Linked DNA regions of Macaca mulatta. The protein of the gene in region 1 interacts with the protein of each later gene in a biochemical or structural test. Links are inferred from orthologs where the notes say so. Each region holds a gene or a part of one and is shown in the gene's direction. Other genes may lie near its edges.

What was found.
Region 2: the proteins of UBE2D1 (region 1) and MKRN3 form a complex in vitro, tested with the Homo sapiens proteins (2 studies listed by BioGRID). The link is inferred for Macaca mulatta from reciprocal best matches to the Homo sapiens genes UBE2D1 and MKRN3.
Region 3: the proteins of UBE2D1 (region 1) and MARCHF5 form a complex in vitro, tested with the Homo sapiens proteins (4 studies listed by BioGRID). The link is inferred for Macaca mulatta from reciprocal best matches to the Homo sapiens genes UBE2D1 and MARCHF5.
Region 4: the proteins of UBE2D1 (region 1) and RNF6 form a complex in vitro, tested with the Homo sapiens proteins (2 studies listed by BioGRID). The link is inferred for Macaca mulatta from reciprocal best matches to the Homo sapiens genes UBE2D1 and RNF6.

What each region holds. Positions count from the first base shown.
Region 1 is NC_133414.1:91,527,188-91,532,274, reverse strand, and holds the start of UBE2D1 (ubiquitin-conjugating enzyme E2 D1), read left to right. Parts: upstream 1-1,692; 5' UTR 1,693-1,895; coding exon 1,896-1,919; intron 1,920-5,087.
Region 2 is NC_133412.1:6,385,412-6,390,070, reverse strand, and holds the start of MKRN3 (E3 ubiquitin-protein ligase makorin-3), read left to right. Parts: upstream 1-1,332; 5' UTR 1,333-1,441; coding exon 1,442-2,965; 3' UTR 2,966-4,659. UniProt on the Homo sapiens protein: E3 ubiquitin ligase catalyzing the covalent attachment of ubiquitin moieties onto substrate proteins.
Region 3 is NC_133414.1:104,261,911-104,266,693, forward strand, and holds the start of MARCHF5 (E3 ubiquitin-protein ligase MARCHF5), read left to right. Parts: upstream 1-1,456; 5' UTR 1,457-1,589; coding exon 1,590-1,624; intron 1,625-4,783. UniProt on the Homo sapiens protein: Mitochondrial E3 ubiquitin-protein ligase that plays a crucial role in the control of mitochondrial morphology by acting as a positive regulator of mitochondrial fission and as an important regulator of immune response.
Region 4 is NC_133422.1:6,335,932-6,340,482, reverse strand, and holds the start of RNF6 (E3 ubiquitin-protein ligase RNF6), read left to right. Parts: upstream 1-1,224; 5' UTR 1,225-1,652; coding exon 1,653-1,761; exon of another isoform or gene 1,762-1,898; intron 1,899-2,212; coding exon 2,213-2,295; intron 2,296-3,864; coding exon 3,865-4,075; intron 4,076-4,551. UniProt on the Homo sapiens protein: E3 ubiquitin-protein ligase mediating 'Lys-48'-linked polyubiquitination of LIMK1 and its subsequent targeting to the proteasome for degradation. Negatively regulates axonal outgrowth through regulation of the LIMK1 turnover.

The sequences.
Region 1 (5,087 bases):
ATTTTGTAAGGAGAAACCCTTTTTTGTTTGGTTCTCATTTCTTTCTTTGCCTGCCGCCATCCATGTAAGGTGTGACTTGCTCCTCCTTGCCTTCTGCCACAATTGTGAGGCTTCCCCAGCCACGTGGAACTGTCCAATTAAACCCCTTTCTTTTGTAAATTGCCCAGTCTCGGCTATGTCTTTATCAGCAGCATGAAAACGGACTAATACAATGCATATCTGATGTTTAGCTCCCACTTATAAGTAAGAATATGTGGTATTTCATTTTCTGTTCCTGCATTAATTCACTTAGGATAATGGCCTCCAGCTGTATCTATGTTGCTGCAAAGGATATTATTTCATTCTTTTTTATGGCTGCATAGTATTCCACAGTGTATGCCCCATTTTCTTTATCCAATCCACCATTAATGAGCACCTAGGTTGACTCCATGTCTTTGCTATTGTGAATAGTACTGATGAACATGTGAGAACATATATCTTTTTGGTGGAATAATTTGTTTTCAGTTGCATATATAACCAGTAATGGGATTGCTGGGTCAAATGGTAGTTTTGTTGTAAGTTCTTTGAGAAATCTCCAAACTGTTTTCCACGATGGCTGAACTAATTTACATTCCCACTAACAGCATATAAATGTTACCTTTTCTCCTCAGCGTCACCAACATCTGTTGATGTTTTCACTTTTTTTTTTTTTCCTTTTTGAGACAGAGTCTTACTCTGTCGCCCAGGCTGGAGAGCAGTGACTCCAACTCAGCTCACTGCAACCTCCGCCTCCCGGGATTAAGCGGTTCTCCTGCCTCAGTCTCCTGAGTAGCTGGGATTACAGGCGCCCACCACCATGCCCAGGTAATTTTTGTATTTTTAGTAGAGATGGGATTTCACCATGTTGGCCAGTCTGGTCTCGAACTCCCAACCTCAGGTAATCTGCCCGCCTCAGCCTCCCAAAGCCCTAGGATTACAGGCGTGAGCCACTGTGCCCGGCCAAGAAGCCAAGTTTTAATGGGTACACAAGTGCCCAGGAATTGGAGAGTGGGGAGTGTGCGTTGACTATTAGTCAGAGACTGTCAATGGAAGGGAAGGAGTCAACGATGGGAGTGAGAGCTCTGAACTCGGTGTTCGAAGCGGGTAATTTATGGGAGGGGCATACCTATGAGCAGACGATGCACTCAGACACGGAAGATCTGTGCATTGGACAGAAGAGACACCTTTTTCCTCTGCAGTAAGAACCAAGGAGGTAAGTAAGGGGTCTGATAGATATGAGTTTGTGCATGTGTGCTGGGTGAGTAATTGAGATAATTCATATATTTGAGAAAAGACAGTGAAATATTTAAAGGTAAATATAATAAAACCAGCTGTGGCACCTATTGGATAAGGAATTACTAACTGATGATTTAGAAATTCCTTTATGTGCGTTAGGAGCTCATTTGTTATCCCCATTTTACAGATGCGCAGCCCCAGGTTCAGTAACTTGCTCTAAATGAGACTGTAGAGACTAACTCCAGCACCCGGCAGCTCTCACCTTAAGCTGCCTGGCTAAGGTCAGCAGCAAGTAACCTGGCAGCGTCTGGGGGCCTGCGGCCGAGGACAGGGCTGGAACTACACTTCCCAGTATGCCAGGCGGGGCGGGGCGCGGCGGGGAGGGCGCAGGCTCCTTCCCAGAAGCAAAAGCGGAAACAAAAGAGTCTCGCCGGCCTCCCCGCCCGCACACTCGCGCACACTCGCGCTCGGGCGCAGACGGAGCAGGGACCGGCGCCCGGAGCGAGCCAGGGAGCGGCGAACCGGGGACCCACCGCGCGGAGCCAGCTGAGCTGCCAGCGAGCCCAACTCGCGAAGACTCACGCCCCCGAGCCCCGCAGCCGACCCCTGCCGGCCGGTGTCCCCACCGCGATCCCTGATCCATGGCGCTGAAGCGGATTCAGAAAGTGAGTGCCGGGGCCGGGCCTGGGGCTGCGGGGCAGCAGGGCAGCGGCGCCTGCCCACGCTGACTCGGCCAGTGGTCCCGAGAGATATGCAGGGAAAGCACGGGATGGAAGGGTGGGCCGGGGTGCGGGCAGGGAGCTGGAGGCTCGGGCCCGGCCAGCGGGCACCGGACAGGTTAGGTGGGAGCGGGGGCAGATCCCAGGCGGCCGGGGGAGCTTGAAGGCTGGGGGCCCGTGGCGCGCTCGCGCCGGGGCCGCTCCCGGAGCCCCAGGGTAGAGAGCCTCCTCCGCGTCCAGACCGCCCCGAAATCTGTGCTTCACGGTCACGGCTGGGTTTTGCCCTCCATGAGGCTAGTTTTGACCCCTGTCATGCTGTGTTTTCTCCAGGCTGTTTCTTAAGCCTGTCTCTTTTATGTTCTTGCTTACCCGGGCTCCCCGGGAGGGCACGGAAGGTGGGGTGGGCCTGCAGCCTTTCTCCGCGGAGCTGTCGGGTTGGTTCTTTCTCCTCTGCGGTTGGCTCTTGCTCAGTTGCCCGAATGGGCTGGAAAGCCCATTTGCGGCCAAGAAGCCAAGAGAAGGCTCCTGCCCCTTCTATTTTGGTGCCTCTGCTGCTGCCACTTCAGGTCACATAGCTGTAGCGAAAACATAGTTGCTGATACACAACAAGATGACCTCCTGGCTGTGATTCACGGTGAGTCAAGCCAAACAGGTTTTTTTTGCCCCTCATGGTAAACTTAGATGTAAAGTTCGAGACACAACATAAACTGTCGCAAATAGATTGTTTTGATGCTTTGACACATGGGTATAAAATGAGGAAGAAATATGTATCTTCATCCAACAACTGTTCACCCATCTCAACCCTGTGTGTGGAATTGTCTTTTTTTCACAGTATTTATTGCCACCATTTCAGAAGCGAACATCCTTCAGAATTGATATTCGGGCATTTCTTTCTGTTCATTTTTATTTCTTGTTGGTCTGTGTACTGACCCAAGTTTTAGGTTTTACAGTTACAGTTCACACTGGGAACATTGAGAATGTGTTTGTTAAATAGGGAGTGCTTTTCACTAAGTTAAGCAACAATGGTCAGTGTATTTTGTAGTTGTTTCAGAAGAAATTAATGCCCACATTTTTATCTACTTTTTTGACCAGTAGTCCATTATAGCAATAGTAAATGTTAGAGCAGTGATAGTGACGTACACATTGTATTCTGACTAGCCACTAGTGGCATCTTTAGGTACAGAGGACAGCAACTTTTAGAGCCTGCCAGTTTTTTATTTTCAAATTCTAAATCTGTTGATCACCTGTTATTTTTTGTCCCATTTAAAGGTCGTCTCATTGTAAAACATACAGTTAACAATCAGCATCAGCATTTATTAAGTTATAATGTTTTCTTGTTTGAAGATAGTTCAGTTACACGTTGTTTTATATAAATATCCTAATTTTGAAGCCTCAGTCGGCCTCTTTACCATAACTTGCATACTTATTAATGACGACGTAATATTGGTTCACATTTGGATCAGAAAATGCACATCTTCCAAGGAAGTTTTCAAATTCTATTTCCTTCTTTCCTAGTTGTGAGAATTTTTCACATGATTTTGCACATACAAGAGCTTTTTAAATTATCACTGTGTTTTTTTAAGAGATGGGGATCTCAGTATGTTGCCCATGCTGGTCTTGAACTCCTGTCCTCCAGAGAGTCTGGGATTACAGGCACAAGTCACCATACCCAACTATAACAATAGCGTTTAAATGCTGTGCAATTTGTCCACAGTAAGTGGATATTCAAAGAAATATGAACATTGTTTGTAAATACCATACTTGGCAGTTCTCGTCAATCACCATGCTGAACTGGTGTATTTGATTTGTATTTATAATGTGTGTGTCCAAATCTTTTCTTTTTAGTATTTATTGGTTATTAGTTTATAGAGTTGTTCAGAAAAAAAAAATTACTTACATGGAATTGATATCAAACATGTGACAAATCGATATTTTGGAGAAGAAATTGGGATCATATACCATCACATCTCTGTGCGTTCATCTTTGGCTTCCCTTTCTGATATCAGGCAAGTTAACTTACACAAGTCTTTCCATTAATCACACATTCAGACCGTTTCCTCAAACCTTAGGGGTGATTATTTTGATTGATTCCCTATTTTTCCTCCTCCTTTATCTACCTCCTTGATTAGAAGCCAATTCTAGGTCAGTTGTGCCGCCTGCCATATGAACAGTTATACCATCTTCTTCTTTGATGTCATCAGTATAGACATTCTTATTTGAATCTTTCATGTTCCAACAAATGAAGATGTATACTAACTTTTGGCCTTTCTTCCTAAGCTCCTATTGAAGTGTTACTATAGTTTTCCTGTACCTAAAGTTGCAGACTGTAGAGCTGTGTGGAACCTCAGATAAGTCTGCCGTAGTGTACTAGAGGGTACCAGCACGGGAACAGCTTCTAGGGTAGTGTCTTAGAATCACCTGAGGGACGTTTTCAGACTGTCGTCACTTCTATAAATGGAGAGGTGTTGAATCCCTCAGATGGGTTGGGGTGGAAAGAAGACTGAGAACCACTGATGTTCTGGCCTGTCCTTATTCAAGGAGGGATCCAGAGGCCTGGAATAGAGGAGTGCATTGTCCTAGGATAATCTTTTTTTGTTTGTTTGTTTGAGATGGAGTCTCGCTTTGTTTCCCAGACTGGAGTGCAGTGGCGTGCTCTCGGCTCACTGCAACCTCTGCCTCCTGGGTTCAAGCAATTCTCCTGCCTCAGCCTCCTGAGTAGCTGGGACTATACAGGCACACGCTGCCAGGCCTGGCTAATTTTTTGTATTTTAGTAGAGATGGGGTTTCACTGTGTTGCCCAGGCTGGTCTCGAACTCCTGAGCTTAGGCAGTCCACCTGCCTCGGCCTCCCAAGGTGCTAGGATTACAGGTGTGAGCCGTCACACCCGGCCAATAATCTCTTAATTGGCTTGGCATATTTGAGAACGTTAAGAAGTTCATGATTTCACATTTCTTCACTATGAAAAAGAATAAAGATGATTGGATTAAAACTGTATGTGAAGACAGAGCATGGAGATATCAATGCTTAAAATACATTTTTATACTAGAATATACTAAATGTACTAGAATATACTAAATGATTTAATGCTCTGATTTAGTGTGCCAGTTTTGCATT
Region 2 (4,659 bases), on another chromosome or scaffold:
CTTCAATAAGCTGTTTAAAGGATTTTACTTAATTTATTTCCCTTATTTAATATTTGTTTTTCTTCATTGCTTTTCTTGGCCTTATTATTTGCTTCATTCTGCTTTCTTTGCTTTTACCTACCTAATTATAATTTAATTTGTTGACTTGGGTGATTATAAATATTCAGATATGTTTCCACTTTACAGATTTAGGCAACAAAATTTCCTCAAAGAAACTTACAGAAAAAAAAAAAATCCAATAATATATAAAACGATATATCATGACACAGAAGGGCTTCTTATTAGAAACAAATTGGTCAGTTAAATATTTGAAACTCATAGCTGCAAATAATCACATTAAGAGAATAAAGGGAAAAACAAGATTATCTCAAAAAATATATAAAACTACATGACAGAATTCAGTATGCAGTCATGATACGTACTCTCAGCAAAGTAGGAATACAAAAAAATGATTAATCCACTACACGTATCTGCAAAAATGACAAAACGCTTATATATGGAAATTAAAGACCATTCCTTTGTGGATAGTATGCCACAACACAGCACAGATGGGGTTGAAAGAAAGCAAGAGAAACAAAGGGCTGCCATGAATTAAACCAGTAGAGAAAATAAAAGCCTGGGTCATGCAGGGGACAGTGCCTTATTCAGCCAGCATCAGGAATGATTGAAGTCTGGGGCTTCTACACAGTGGGAAAACGAGCATAGTAATCACAATAAAGAAAGACATCTGAAAGGTGCTAACTTAGCCTCGGATCAGAAGCGCTGTCTGCTAATGCCTTGCTGGTGAAAAGCGTATCCTGCGTAAGCCCTCAGAAATCCCAGAAAACAAAGACCAAAAGAAACGACGCTTTGTCAACAGAGCAAATCGAAAAAATCTTCCAGCAGTGACAGGGCATTAAAAAAAAAAAAACGCAGACATAAGATGGAGTGAATCAAAAAAGGATTTATCTAATTCATGTATGAAATGTTTCAGAATCTATTGGATTCTAATTTTTTTAAAGCAGACAGATACGAAAATACAACGAAGACGTGCATGACTGAAACCAAAAGAGATTAAAGTAAAACCTCATTCTCCTGAGGAAACGGTGTGAGGAGGGAATTAGGGGCTGCCGGAACACAGCGAAGCAGAGGCAGAAGGCAGACAAAAGGGGCTGGGTTGGTCCCTGCCTGTGTGAACAAAAAATATGTCAGATTGGAAAATTGCGGTAAAATCCAAGCGCGGCGCGTACGTTGCCCCCACAGGAAGTGTCCGCCGCGCTGCCTGTGCCCGGAAGTAGGTAGGAACACACAGTCACAGGCAGCCAAGAACCGGGGGGGAAGAAAAAGAGATGCACACTTCCCCTAGAGAAGCCTCCGAGCGCGGCCGCGACTCCGGGCCTCAAGCCCATAAAGAAAAAATACCGGAGACGTTCTGGCACCATTTCGGGGTAAAGAAGCTGCCATGGAAGAGCCTGCAGCTCCCTCAGAAGCCCAGGAGGCAGCCGGGGCCCAGGCAGGTGCTGAGGCAGCAGGGGAGGGTGTGTCCGGGCCGGACCTTCCCGTCTGTGAGCCCTCCAGGGAATCTGCTGCTCCAGATTCGGCCCTGCCACATGCGCCTGTGGGCTGGGCCCCCTTCCCTGTAGCTCCAGTCCCTGCCCACCTCCGCACAGGAGGCCTGAGGCCTGCACCAGCCTCAGGAGGAGGAGCATGGCGCAATCCGTTTCCAAGCCGAAGCAGCGGCATTTGGACAAAGCAGATCATCTGCAGGTATTATATACATGGGCAGTGCAAGGAGGGGGAGAACTGTCGCTATTCCCACGACCTTTCTGGTCGGAAGATGGCCACTGAGGGCAGCGTTTCGCCGCCTGGGGCCTCTGCAGGTGGAGGCCCTAGCACGGCTGCGCACATCGAGCCCCCGACTCAGGAAGTGGCGGAAGCCCCCCCGGCTGCATCCTCCCTTTCCTTGCCTGTGATTGGCTCGGCTGCTGAAAGGGGTTTCTTTGAAGCCGAGAGAGACAATGCAGACCGTGGAGCTGCTGGAGGAGCAGGTGTAGAAAGCTGGGCGGATGCCATTGAGTTTGTTCCAGGGCAGCCCTACCGGGGCCGCTGGGTTGCATCTGCCCCCGAGGCTCCTCCACAGAGCTCAGAGACTGAGAGGAAGCAGATGGCTGTGGGCAGGGGGTTGCGGTTTTGCTATTATGCTTCCAGGGGAGTTTGCTTTCGTGGGGAGAGCTGTATGTTCCTCCATGGAGACATATGCGACATGTGTGGGCTGCAGGCCTTGCACCCCATGGATGCTGCCCAGAGGGAAGACCATATAAGGGCCTGCATTGAAGCACACGAGAAAGATATGGAACTCTCGTTTGCTGTGCAGCGTGGTATGGACAAGGTGTGTGGCATCTGCATGGAGGTTGTCTATGAGAAAGCCAACCCCAATGACCGCCGCTTTGGCATTCTTTCCAATTGCAACCATACCTTCTGTATTAGGTGTATCCGCAGGTGGAGAAGTGCCAGACAGTTTGATAACAGGATCATCAAGTCTTGCCCGCAGTGCAGGGTCACCTCCGACTTGGTCGTTCCCAGTGAGTTCTGGGTGGAGGAGGAGGAAGAGAAGCAGAAACTTATTCAGCAATACAAGGAGGCAATGAGCAACAAGGCCTGCAGGTATTTTGCGGAAGGCAGGGGTAACTGCCCATTTGGAGACACATGCTTTTACAAGCATGAATACCCTGAGGGCTGGGGAGATGAGCCTCCTGGGCCAGGTGGTGGGTCATTCGGCGCATACTGGCATCAACTTGTGGAGCCTGTGCGAATGGGAGAGGGCGACATGCTCTATAAAAGCCGTAAGAAGGAGCTTGTCGTGCTTCGACTGGCCAGTCTGTTGTTTAAGCGGTTTCTTTTACTGAGAGATGAGTTACCCTTCTCTGAGGACCAGTGGGACTTGCTTCATTATGAGCTGGAAGAATATTTCAATTTGAATCTGTAGCATTGTGCTGTGGCATGTGGTCTAGTCTGCTGAGGTTCTGTCGTCTGCTATTGCCTGTTTTCCCTGTGTTGACACTCTTATTGCTTTCAGGGGCTGTTGAGGCAGTGCTTCTGTTTTCTTGTCTATTCTGCATATCTTTCCTCCTAGGATTATGGTGATTATCTGTGTTTAAAAAAATAAGTCCTTAAAGTTACTGTTTTGGTGAAATTAATATTAATGTCAGCTTATGGCTTTTTTTGTCATCTCTGTTTTCAACAGGATTAACTCAGTTCTAGTGTAGTGTTTACTGAATTTCCACACTTATTTTGAAGACCCTCAAGAGTAAATGTGGCAGAGTGAAAGGAGAAGTTTTAATTGAACTAGTAGCTTTGTGCTATAATAGCCTTAACAAATGGACCCTCGCAGGGTCTTGCAGCTGCTCATCTGTTTACAGTTTGTTCTTTCCCTCCTTCCCCTTCAAGTGCACTTGTTAAACTGTGATGAACTTGTGATTTTGTGTTTTACTTGACCAAAACCAAGTGTATATGTTTACATGTTTTTATCCTGTTTAGCTTGACATGAAATAATTTATATTTGGAAATATATATTTAAGAATGATATATATATAATATATATGTATAAGAGCTATGTATTTGAAAATATATATAAAAGAATATACATCACAATATTTATGTTTATGTAATAAAGTAAATACAGAGCCGAAAGCTGAAGGTCAAAGCCTAACAGGATTGGCTGTTGTGTGGATGTGAGTTGTGTGAATAATCATTCTGTCCCTTGCACAGAAGCCAGTAATTAGCATCTAATGAAAAGGACTGTTCAAGTGGGTCTGGCCAAATGTAACAGATGCAGATCTTAAGAGGACTTACAAAGCACTATATTGGTAATTCTTACAATGGCATTAATAGCTCACTCTATAAAAACAGAAATTGTGTTCCTACGCAGTTTTGCCACCTTCTCAATAATTCTTTGTAACAGCAAATCCTAGGCTCAGAGGCACAGTGCTTTGTATTTGATATACAAAGTCTCTAGACTTTCCCAACAAGGGGCTTTAGACAAAAGATTTCAACATAAAAGTAACAAGATTATAAAAGGGAAAATAGAACAAAAATACTAAAACCAGTGAGAATAAAATAATGGAAAGATAATAAAATATAGAAAGCACTAAAAACTAAGTGTAAGAGTAATATAGAAAATTTACATACAACTTAGATTAAATGAAAGCAGTTTAAAGACTGAAAGTCAAAGGCTATAAGACTTCATTACAATCAAAATGAAACATCCTATTTAAAATACACACAACATAAAAATACAGAAGCATTCAAAGTAGTAAGATGGGAAAAAAAACCAAACAGGTGCTGTGACTGTCTTGATTGTAGACAATGTTTATGGTAAGGATAAACACTTTGCTGGAGATAAAAAGGAATGATACATAAACATTAAATTGTAATTCACAGGAATATATAACTGTTCAAATTTTGTATACATTTAATAATGTTGTATCAGATACACAACTGATAAAAATAGAAAATCCTAACTCCAGACTCTTAGTGGACAATTTTAATACACCTTTTTAGTAACCAAACAAGCAAAGAAAAAATGAATGTGAAAGATAATTATGCCATTTTAATGACTTACCTGCATAACTTATGATCTGCATCAACTGCAAATGCACTTACCTTGGCTGAAGTAGCTGA
Region 3 (4,783 bases), about 13 Mb from region 1:
GTGTGTGTGTGTGTGTGTGTGTGTGTGTGGTGGGGGGGTGCTGTTTCTCAAAAGCATATTTCAAAAATTGGAGGCCAAGTAAACTTCTGGTCACATTTTTGAGGGTTTGTTTTTTCCCAGCAATGAACGCTCTAGTTCAAATATACTTCGTAAATTTTGAACAGATAATAAAAAGTTGATTGTAAAACTCTACATTTAAAAAGAGCTTTAAAAACACATTTTCATTTTTTAAAAAATCAAACATCTTGCAGCAGAAATTAGACACAATCAAGGGAAAACTACCAGCGTCCTACCAGTCACAACCCTAGAGAAAATGCCACAGGTCGTCCAAAAAACGCATTCATTTGAGCCAACAGCTCTTTCCTCCCGCCAAAGCTATCCCTCGAACGTCAGAAGCTGACCCAAGGAGTGATTGATGATTTCTCCTTTTTGATTCCCCCTCACCCCCGCCACTCCCAATCCACCTGCTTTAAGGTGTCAACGCGACTACAAACGGTTAACAGTGACCAGCAGCAGAGAGAAACAAACGTCCCTGACAACCCACAGCTGAGTAAGCAAGAGCTGTTTATTCACCAACGTGTTCCATTTGGAGACTGTCGGCGAGCCCTGGAAAGCCCAAGCACATTAAGGTTCCTGGAGAGGGAGAGAATCATCTTTCCTTCCCCCCACTCCCCAGCCCCAAACACACACTGAGAGACTCGGGTGGAAGCCGTCTGGTCCAGGCAGTCCCGACTTGCCCGCCCCCTCAAGAAAAACCTCACGCACCAAAGCAGCCGACCCCTTGCGGGGGTGGTGTAATTCCCCCAAAATGGGCTCTGCCGCAGGAGAGGCTGGCTGCAGCGCCGGGGGCTTCGGAAGGAGTTACTGCCACCCCCAATGCCGCCACTGCCCGCCCTGACGCCACGGCCGGGGCTGGGGACCCTGATGAGAAATGGCCCTTCAGCCCCCTCCCCTCACCTGGCTCGGTCCCACCTGAGGGCTAGAGCGGAGGCAAAAAGAAACAGGCAGGGAGGGCTGACCTTGTTGCTACTGACAGTGGAGCGGCGCATCCTGCTGCTTCCTGGAAAGCGGCCCGAAAGACATTTTTTGCCCCTGGAGGAAGGAAACGGGAGGGCGCCGGCCGGACGGCGGCGGGCGCGGAGGCGTTGGTCCGGGCAGGCTGTGCAGCCTCTAAGCAGGGACGGTCCGAGGACTACATCTCCCAGGCTGCTTTGGGCCGCCCTGCGTCGTAACCCCGGCGCGCACGGAGGCGGTGACTCTTACCTCACAAAGGTAGCTCCTCCGCCGGCAGCAACTCGGCGCCCGCGGTCCATGGACCGGAACCTCGGGCCGACGGACAGGAACCCGGGCCGCGATCGCCGCCTCCCCGCCTCAGGCTCCTCCTCCTCGTTCTCCGCCGCCTCCACCGGACGCCCGCAGGCCCCGCACCGCCGCCGCCCGGCTAGCGCAGCTGCCCCGGGAAGCTGGGTGACTGGTTCGCGGCTGCCGCCGGACTGCGGCCTACTCCGCTGTCTCTCAGTGCTATTGTCCCTGGGCCTGGCCTTGAGCGGGTCCACTGGGGAGGGCCGAGTGCGCCGGCTCCGCGGAAGATGCCGGACCAAGCCTTACAGCAGATGCTGGACAGGTACGGGCAGCTGTTGGGGGGGGACCGGGAGCCGCCGACCCTCGCTCTGGCCCTGCCCGCGCCCGCCCTCGAGGCTCTTGGTGAGCAGAACTCGGCGTGCCGGGAGGAGTTCCACGGCCGGGGGGCCGTGAGAGGGGCAGAAAGTTTGGAGTCTAGACTTGGGGAGGACAGAACGAGCGGCCTGGGTCGTAGACTTTGGGTGAAACTTAGCTAAGGAGTGGCGTCTGGTTTCTTTGGAACCCCGTTTTGACGTGAGAGGGACCCATGTTAATCCACAAAATTAGTTTTCCTTACCCTCCTCGCCTCCCCCTTCCTCCCTCCCCAACTTGTAAAGTGTCAGCGATGTCACTGGCAAGAAGAACCGGGTTATCTTTCAGGAGAATGACCCCCTTACAATTTTAAGTCTCTGTCTGAGAACCAATGATAAACATTCTTTTAGAAAGCCTGATAGGCTGATTTCGTTCTCTCCCCTTTCCCTGAGCCCGCACCACCCTCCCCCCGCCCCATCCCGTCCCCACCTCCGAACTGTAAGGTCAGAGTATCCGCAAGGGAGCTTTAACGGTCAGACCAAAGTAGAGGTTATGGAAAACAGCCAAATGAGTCCAATGCTGAACACTTAGTGTACTTGGCGATCGTTGGGTTCATTGAAAACGTTTCAGCTCGTACAGGAGTCCAGTTGCCCATTCTTGGGGGGCCCCAGTCTGTAAAACTCTTTGTGAAGTCGGGTGCACCGCCCTCTGCTGTTGAAATTCTAGTCCGTGGGTTCTACCATGAGTTTTGGGAGACTCTAGATCCACATTTCCCCCCAGCTGAGTCTTACTTTCTGGCATAGCAAGTTGTACAAGCTAATTCATAATGTTTGTGGTTGCTTACAATTCTCAGCAGACATCACTTGCCACCCATTTCAGCAGGTGGTACCAACTCTTTGTACTCAGTAAAATTCCAACTGTAAGGTGTTAAATGAAGGCCCTCCCTTGAGTTTATACCCAGTTAAATGCTGTTTGGGTCTGCCACACCCAGAACACAAGTGACCCAAGTGTACACATCCTTCCAGAGTGACAGACATTTTCTTGGAGCTTAGAATTTTGAGCCATCTCAGTTGATAGAAATTATGTCACTAATTTTTTTCAGTTGAGGTAACTGGTGATTCATCCAGCCCTTGTTTCAGGTCAACATTCTGACAATTGTATTGACCACCCTTTTATGTATGTGTGTGGTTTATAAGCTCTTGGAAGGCAGAAACTTACTCACTATTTATCTTGAATCCCAGAACAGAGCCTGGTACTCAGTAGGTAATCAGTAAGTATTTGCTGTATGAACTGACGCACAAAGTTATTTGTCAGTTTCCCCAGTTGTCTAGGGGTCTGATAATTTACCAGGTTTTCCTTTCATTGTAAATTGGCAAATTAAAATATGCCCAGAGGAGACCACCTGCCACTGCCAGTTCTGTTCTGTTGAAACCCTGTTTTGATGCAGGGTATTTTGTAATTAATTTTTTCCTCTGAGGGCCTCCTTTCATTTTTACATAGTGACTTTTTTTCTTCTTTTTTTGAGACAGGGTCTCTGTTGCCCAGACTGGAATGCAGTGGCAGTGGCAGTGGTCTGATCTCAGCTCACTGCAACCCCTGCCTCCCGGGCTCAGGTGATCCTCCTACCTCAGCCTCCCTAGTAGCTGGGACCACAGCACATACCACCATACCCAGCTAATTTTTTGTATTTTTATAGAGCCGGAGTTTTGCCATGTAGCCCCTGCTGGTCTCAAACTCCTGGGCTCAAGTGATCCAAGTGATCCTCCCGCCTAGCCTCCCAAAGTGCTGTGTCGTCAAGCATGAGCTATCGCGCCCGGCCTAGAAAAGTTCTTATGTCCAAAAGCTGACCTGGCTTTTCATATGCTCTTTGGAGATTTCCATAAAAGTAAGAAGCCAAAGAATGAGGCTGGGCACAGTGGCTTACCCCTGCAATCCCAGCACTTTGGGAAGCCAAGGCGGGCAGATTACTTGAGGTCAGGCGTTCGAGACCAGCCTAGCCAACATGGTGAAAACCCTGTCTCTACGGGAAAAAAAAAAAAAAATTAGGCAGGCATGGTGGCATGGGCCTGTAGTTCCAACAGGAGGCTGAGGCATGAGAATTGCTTGAACCTGGGAGACGGAGGTTGCAGTGAGCCGAGATTGCACCATTGCACTCCAGCCTGGGTGACAGAGCAAAACTCCATCTCAAAAAAAAAAAAGCTAGTGAGGCATTTAAACCTCAACAGAAATGTGAAGATTCTGGCTGCCATTTACTGAAATAGGTGACTATGACACTGGCTTACTTTCATCTTTGTACTCTTTTGACATATCTTAAAGTAGATTTTTAACATGACTTTCAAAGACCTTTATTGTCTAGATTAGTAGTTGGCAACCTGTTTCCATGTTAGAATTACCTGGGGAACATTTCAAAATATGCATGGATGCTGGATCCTGTCTAAGACCAGTAAGATCAAAAATTTCTGTAGGGTAGAGCTTGGGCATCTATATTTTAAAACTTTTTAAATGTTTCAGATATGGCTGAAACCTACTGCCCTAAGTCCTAAGGCAGTGATATCTTTCAAGATAAGAGATAATAAGGCATAGTGATTAAAGCTTGGGCTCAGAGATAGAAAGCATGAAATTCAAATTTTGCCACTTACTAGCTATGTGACTTTGAATTTAGATTCTGACACTATGTATATGATCATTTATAAAATGGGAACCCTACTTCACAGGGCTACAGCAAATGAAAACATACATCTCTGTAAAACAACAAAACACTCTGTGTTAGCCCAATAGAAGGCACTTAAGACTAATGTAAACCCGTTTGGCCGTTTTTCCCCCATCTACTTTATGTTTAAAGTTTTCTTCATCTGGGCTGGCCCTACTGCAAGTTGAACACAAAGATACTCAACATGGTTCACTTGAGGAATACCAACAGGGCCAAAAGACTAAAATATGTCAGCCTATTAGGACCCAGAATTCTTTTCATGAATTTGACTTCTCCTCAACCTGGTTTTTGGTGGCAATTTTTGAGGGACAGAATTTAGCTCAGATAACTGTTCGTTTGTTTGTTTCTTGAATGCAGGTTTTATCTTTGTGAAGACTAGGGAAATGTGTGTTACATATTGTTCTGTTGCTTTTAGGTTAA
Region 4 (4,551 bases), on another chromosome or scaffold:
GCTTGAGGGTGAGATAAGGGTGTTACCTCAGAGGTATCAGGAAAAATTCCTTAAAGATGAGAACTGAGCTGAGTTTTGGGAGACAGAGAGAATTAGGTAAAAGTGGAGTTGGGGGTTGCGTAGGAGTTCCCGTATCTTGTGGCGGAACTTCCAGCAGTTTCAGAGTGCCAAGACATCAATCTGTCAATGTAAGCAGCGGAGAGACCTGGAAGGACTTTCTAGGCTGTTTTATATATTTCCATTTTAGTATCCATATCCCTATGCTTATTTTAAAAACTTGTCCATAGATCCTTACTACACTGGTAGCTCACTGATGCTAAGGACTGCCCAGCATAATAATGGGAATATGGTAGTTCCTCAAAAATTAATGCAGAAATGAAATAACAAACGGGAGAATGACAAGTAACGGCATTGTGAGCACTCTCCAGTGATGAAGTCATCTGGATAGCGGGGATGTGAGGAAGGGGGCCTATACCAGGTTAGACGGAGACCTACTCAGCATATTAACTAATGGTGAGGCAAGTTTAGTAAGCCTCACATCTCAGAAATAAAATCAGAGAGAGGAATGTTGGGAGTTTCAAACTGCTTTCCTAGCGAGAAGGTGAAAAAACACAAAATGTAGTGGGGTGCAGTGCCTCATGCCTGTAATCCCATTTTGCTGAGGTGGGAGGATTGCTTGAGGCCGAGTACGAAATCAGCCTGGGCAACATAGCGAGACCCTTGTCTCTACAAAAGAAAAAAATGTGAAATTAGTGGCAAGCGCCTGTAGTTCCAGCTACTGGGATGAGGAGGGCGGAACGCTGGAGGCTGCAGTGAGCTACGATCGCTCCACTGCACTCCAGCCTGGGCGACAGGGCGAGACCTTTTCTCAAATAGAGATAGGCAGACAGACTTCAGAATGTATTAGGGTTTGTAATTTCCAGGTTCCAACGAACAGCAAGGGAAAGGGCCTGGCTGGGTAGTACGTTACACCCGGAAGTAAAGGGACGAATACACCTTTGGGTGCACTTTGTAGTCTGGCTGGCAAACAAGCAACACGGACGCGTAGAGTTAAGTGCTGGGACTTCCCAAGCCTGGAAAGCAAGCTGTGTCTCTGCGACTACGCGGCTGCCACCAGCGCTGAGCGGCCGGTTTTTGGCCTCGAGGAGGAGGCACTGTAAGGGCGGCGCGGAGAGGGCGGAACGCGGGACGCAGGCACCCTAGCTCCCGACGGACGCAATTTTCAGTCGCACGGGCGAGCTCCGGTGCGAGCTGCGGAGCGACTCCCCTTCGCCGAGTGGGCGGCCTGGCTGTCTGGAAAGAAGGGCTGGGGCCTGCCGTTCCGCCCGCGGAGCATCCTCCCCAGCTGGACGACCCCACGCTGCAGCACGGGCTTCCGGCTTCTCTCCTCAGTGGCCAATTCGAGGGAACAGCGGGCTCCGGAGGCGCGGCGGCAAGCCTATCCCGCCTCCTAGCCACAGCCTCCAGCACCCGAGAGAACCGCCGTCCGCGGCACACTTTTTCCGGGAAGGAGGCGGAAGGCCCGGGACTTGGAGGACAGGTGGGTTCGAGGGAAAGATCTGGGTCCCACCACTACTTCCTGGAGACGCCGGGGAAAGCAGGCCATCCTTCGAGCCACCCATCTCTTCTCCGATTGGTTAACTGCCCTCTTAATGCGCTCCGCTGGCTGGAGATTGGTTGGGATGCACCGTCTATCACCTGCTTCCCTGTGGGAATCTAGGTCGCTAAGGGAAGCGTTACTTGAGGCTCGGTTGGGAAGAGGTTGGTTGGGCCCCTTGAGCCCACTCTGTTTATCATACTGGGGATCGTCCCCCGGCGCGAGCTTCCGTCGCAACGGCCAGGAAAGAAACCAGTAGCGGGACGGAGGGCGGGGGTGGCAAGAAAGTCAAGGTTTAGAAGTAAGCCAGAGACGCCTAACCCTGGTAACATCCGAATGGGAACGGGATAGGAAGGAAGGCCTTTGAGAGAGGAGGCGTAAACCCAGGAGCAGTGACAGTGTAGGACGAAAGGCCTAAGTTTGTTGCGGGAGGTAGGGGCCTTGCGGGAGGTGTTCATGACCTAATTGTATGGGGATCTAATTTTCTAGATGTGTCTAACAAAATCCACTGGAGAATTTGCTTTGGCTTTGCAGCAGAGTGGGGAGACTCCCACCCGTTCCTGGCCTTCAAAGAGACAGTTTATTGAATTATTCACCTCTCTTTTATTGCTTCAGATGGGCAACTCTCAAAAAAGGTACAAACAATTGAAGGATGGATACCATGGCATATGGTAAAAGCATGTCGAAAGGAAAATAAGGTATTCGCTTTGTTTTCATGGTGATTAATTGTATAAGAAAATTACCTTTAAGGAGAAGCTGTTACGTTTTAAATAATATTAGGGTAGCTTGATTTTATGATAGGTTTCTGTAAAGTTATTTATTACAAAAATCCTATTATTGCTGTACCTACGAAATATGCTCTTTGCTAATTACGGTCCTAATCTGAAGATAGAAATCTTGAGTTTTTAGTAGTGTTAATTCGTATTTGAGTGGATAATGTTACTAGGTCATTTGTTCAAAATGACAAAATAACCACAGTGAAAAAAATCCTTGAATTTGTAATTTAGTGTTACAGGTGAAATTGAATAGTTGCCTACTCCTACAGTGTTTTAGACTTCTAGGCTAATTTCACCTTATATTTAAAGCAGCTTGCTTATTAAACACCTGGTGTATTTCGAGAGGCGGAGTTGCACAGTTGCTTCACTGGTAGCCTAGCCATTTGAGCCTCCAGCCTCTACTGAATCAGGTGCTGTATCACTCATACCCTTTAGTGACATGCCAGAGGTTGTTGAGGAATAGTTTATTTCATCTGTAGAACACCCAAATTAGCTCTTAACAGCAGACCTGGTCCTACCCTGGAAAACTCTAATCAAGGATTGGGGATGAGATTTGGGCATCTGGATTTTTAAAAATGTCCTTAAGTGAGTTTGAGAACCATTGCTTTAGTGTGACTTACTAAATAGATATGTTTAAGAAATTTTAAAATATTTATGAAACAAACATCTTTCTCCCTTGATTTCCTTATCGTTTAAAAGCGAGCTTCTCAGGAGTGACATTTAAATATAATTCAAAAACAGTGTTTTCTTAGGCAAAGTTAGGAAGTTTCACTGGCACTCTGAAACTCCTGGGACTAACCATTCCAGGCTTAAGGATGAGGCTTGTTATGGGGAGATACAAAGTGCTCTGATGCACTTTCACAATCCTTGAGCCATACATGATGTCTTGTTTCCTGTTGGGTTTCAAAGTCTTCCTGGTAGGCTTTAACGAGAGATCACCTCCCAGTCTGTTCAGTAGATATTAATTAGGCTAAATGATTTTTACCTCAACAAAGTGCAGTGGGGGATAATATTACATTCATGAGCCTTATTTTGGAAAGAATACCTTGCTGAAAATAAATGTAAATTATATCATCCCAATACCCCTTTGCTCATTAAGTGAAGAATGTGCATAATTCAAGCCTAAAATTTGTAATTAATGTGAAGTACCCAGATACTGAAACATAAATGAGGACTTCTGGATCAACTTTTCCAGATCATTAGCCGGGTCAAAAATGAGATAATCACTATGGTATTCAGGCATGAGCATTGTGTGGTAAACCCAAATCCAGTCTGACTTAATGGCTTTAGGCAAAGAAGTAGCTCCAATTGTGTTGTATTTCCTAGAAGTTGTTTTTCATTTTATATGTAAGGTTCTCACTGCAAGACTTGGCAAATACAGTATTTGGGTAGGGGACAACATTTAAAAATTAAAAACTGTAAGTTATAAATACAAAGCTAAATGTGGTCCATGACTTAACACCTTGAATTTTGTTTATATTGTTTGAACAGAAAGCCAGGAATCTCAGGATGAATCAGTCTACATCTAGATCAGATGGTGGCAGTGAAGAAAGCTTATCTCAAGACCATAATCATCATGAAAATGAGAGAAGATGGCAGCAAGAGCGTCTCCACAGAGAAGAGGCCTATTATCAGTTTATTAATGAACTCAATGATGAAGATTATCGGCTTATGAGAGACCATAACCTTTTAGGCACCCCTGGTAAGAGATCGGTAAAAGAGGAGACACCTTTTTCCATCATTAGGTGGAAGGATTTCAAGATAAGGAGAATTGGTATTCTTTTTCCCTGTTTCTCTTTATGAAAATATAGTATATTGTTTTTGTGAGTTTAAGAACTTTTTAGTGTAATAAAGTAGAAAATCCCTGGCTTCTGTATTTTATAAGGTGAAAATATGGGACATGGAGCACTGTTACACAAATGCCAAACTAAGAAACAGGTTAATGTACATAATGGTGTTAAGTATTTACATATATGGTCCTATTTGTAATTTTTATACAAATAAAATATGACTTGGCTGGGTGTGGTGGCTCACGCCTGTAATTCCAGCACTTTGGGAGGCCAAGGTGAGTGGATCACCTGAGGTCAGGAGTTCGAGACCAGCCTGGCCAATATGGTGAAACCCCATCTCTATTGAAAATACAAAAAATCAGCCGGGCGTCGTGGTGCGTGCCTGTAA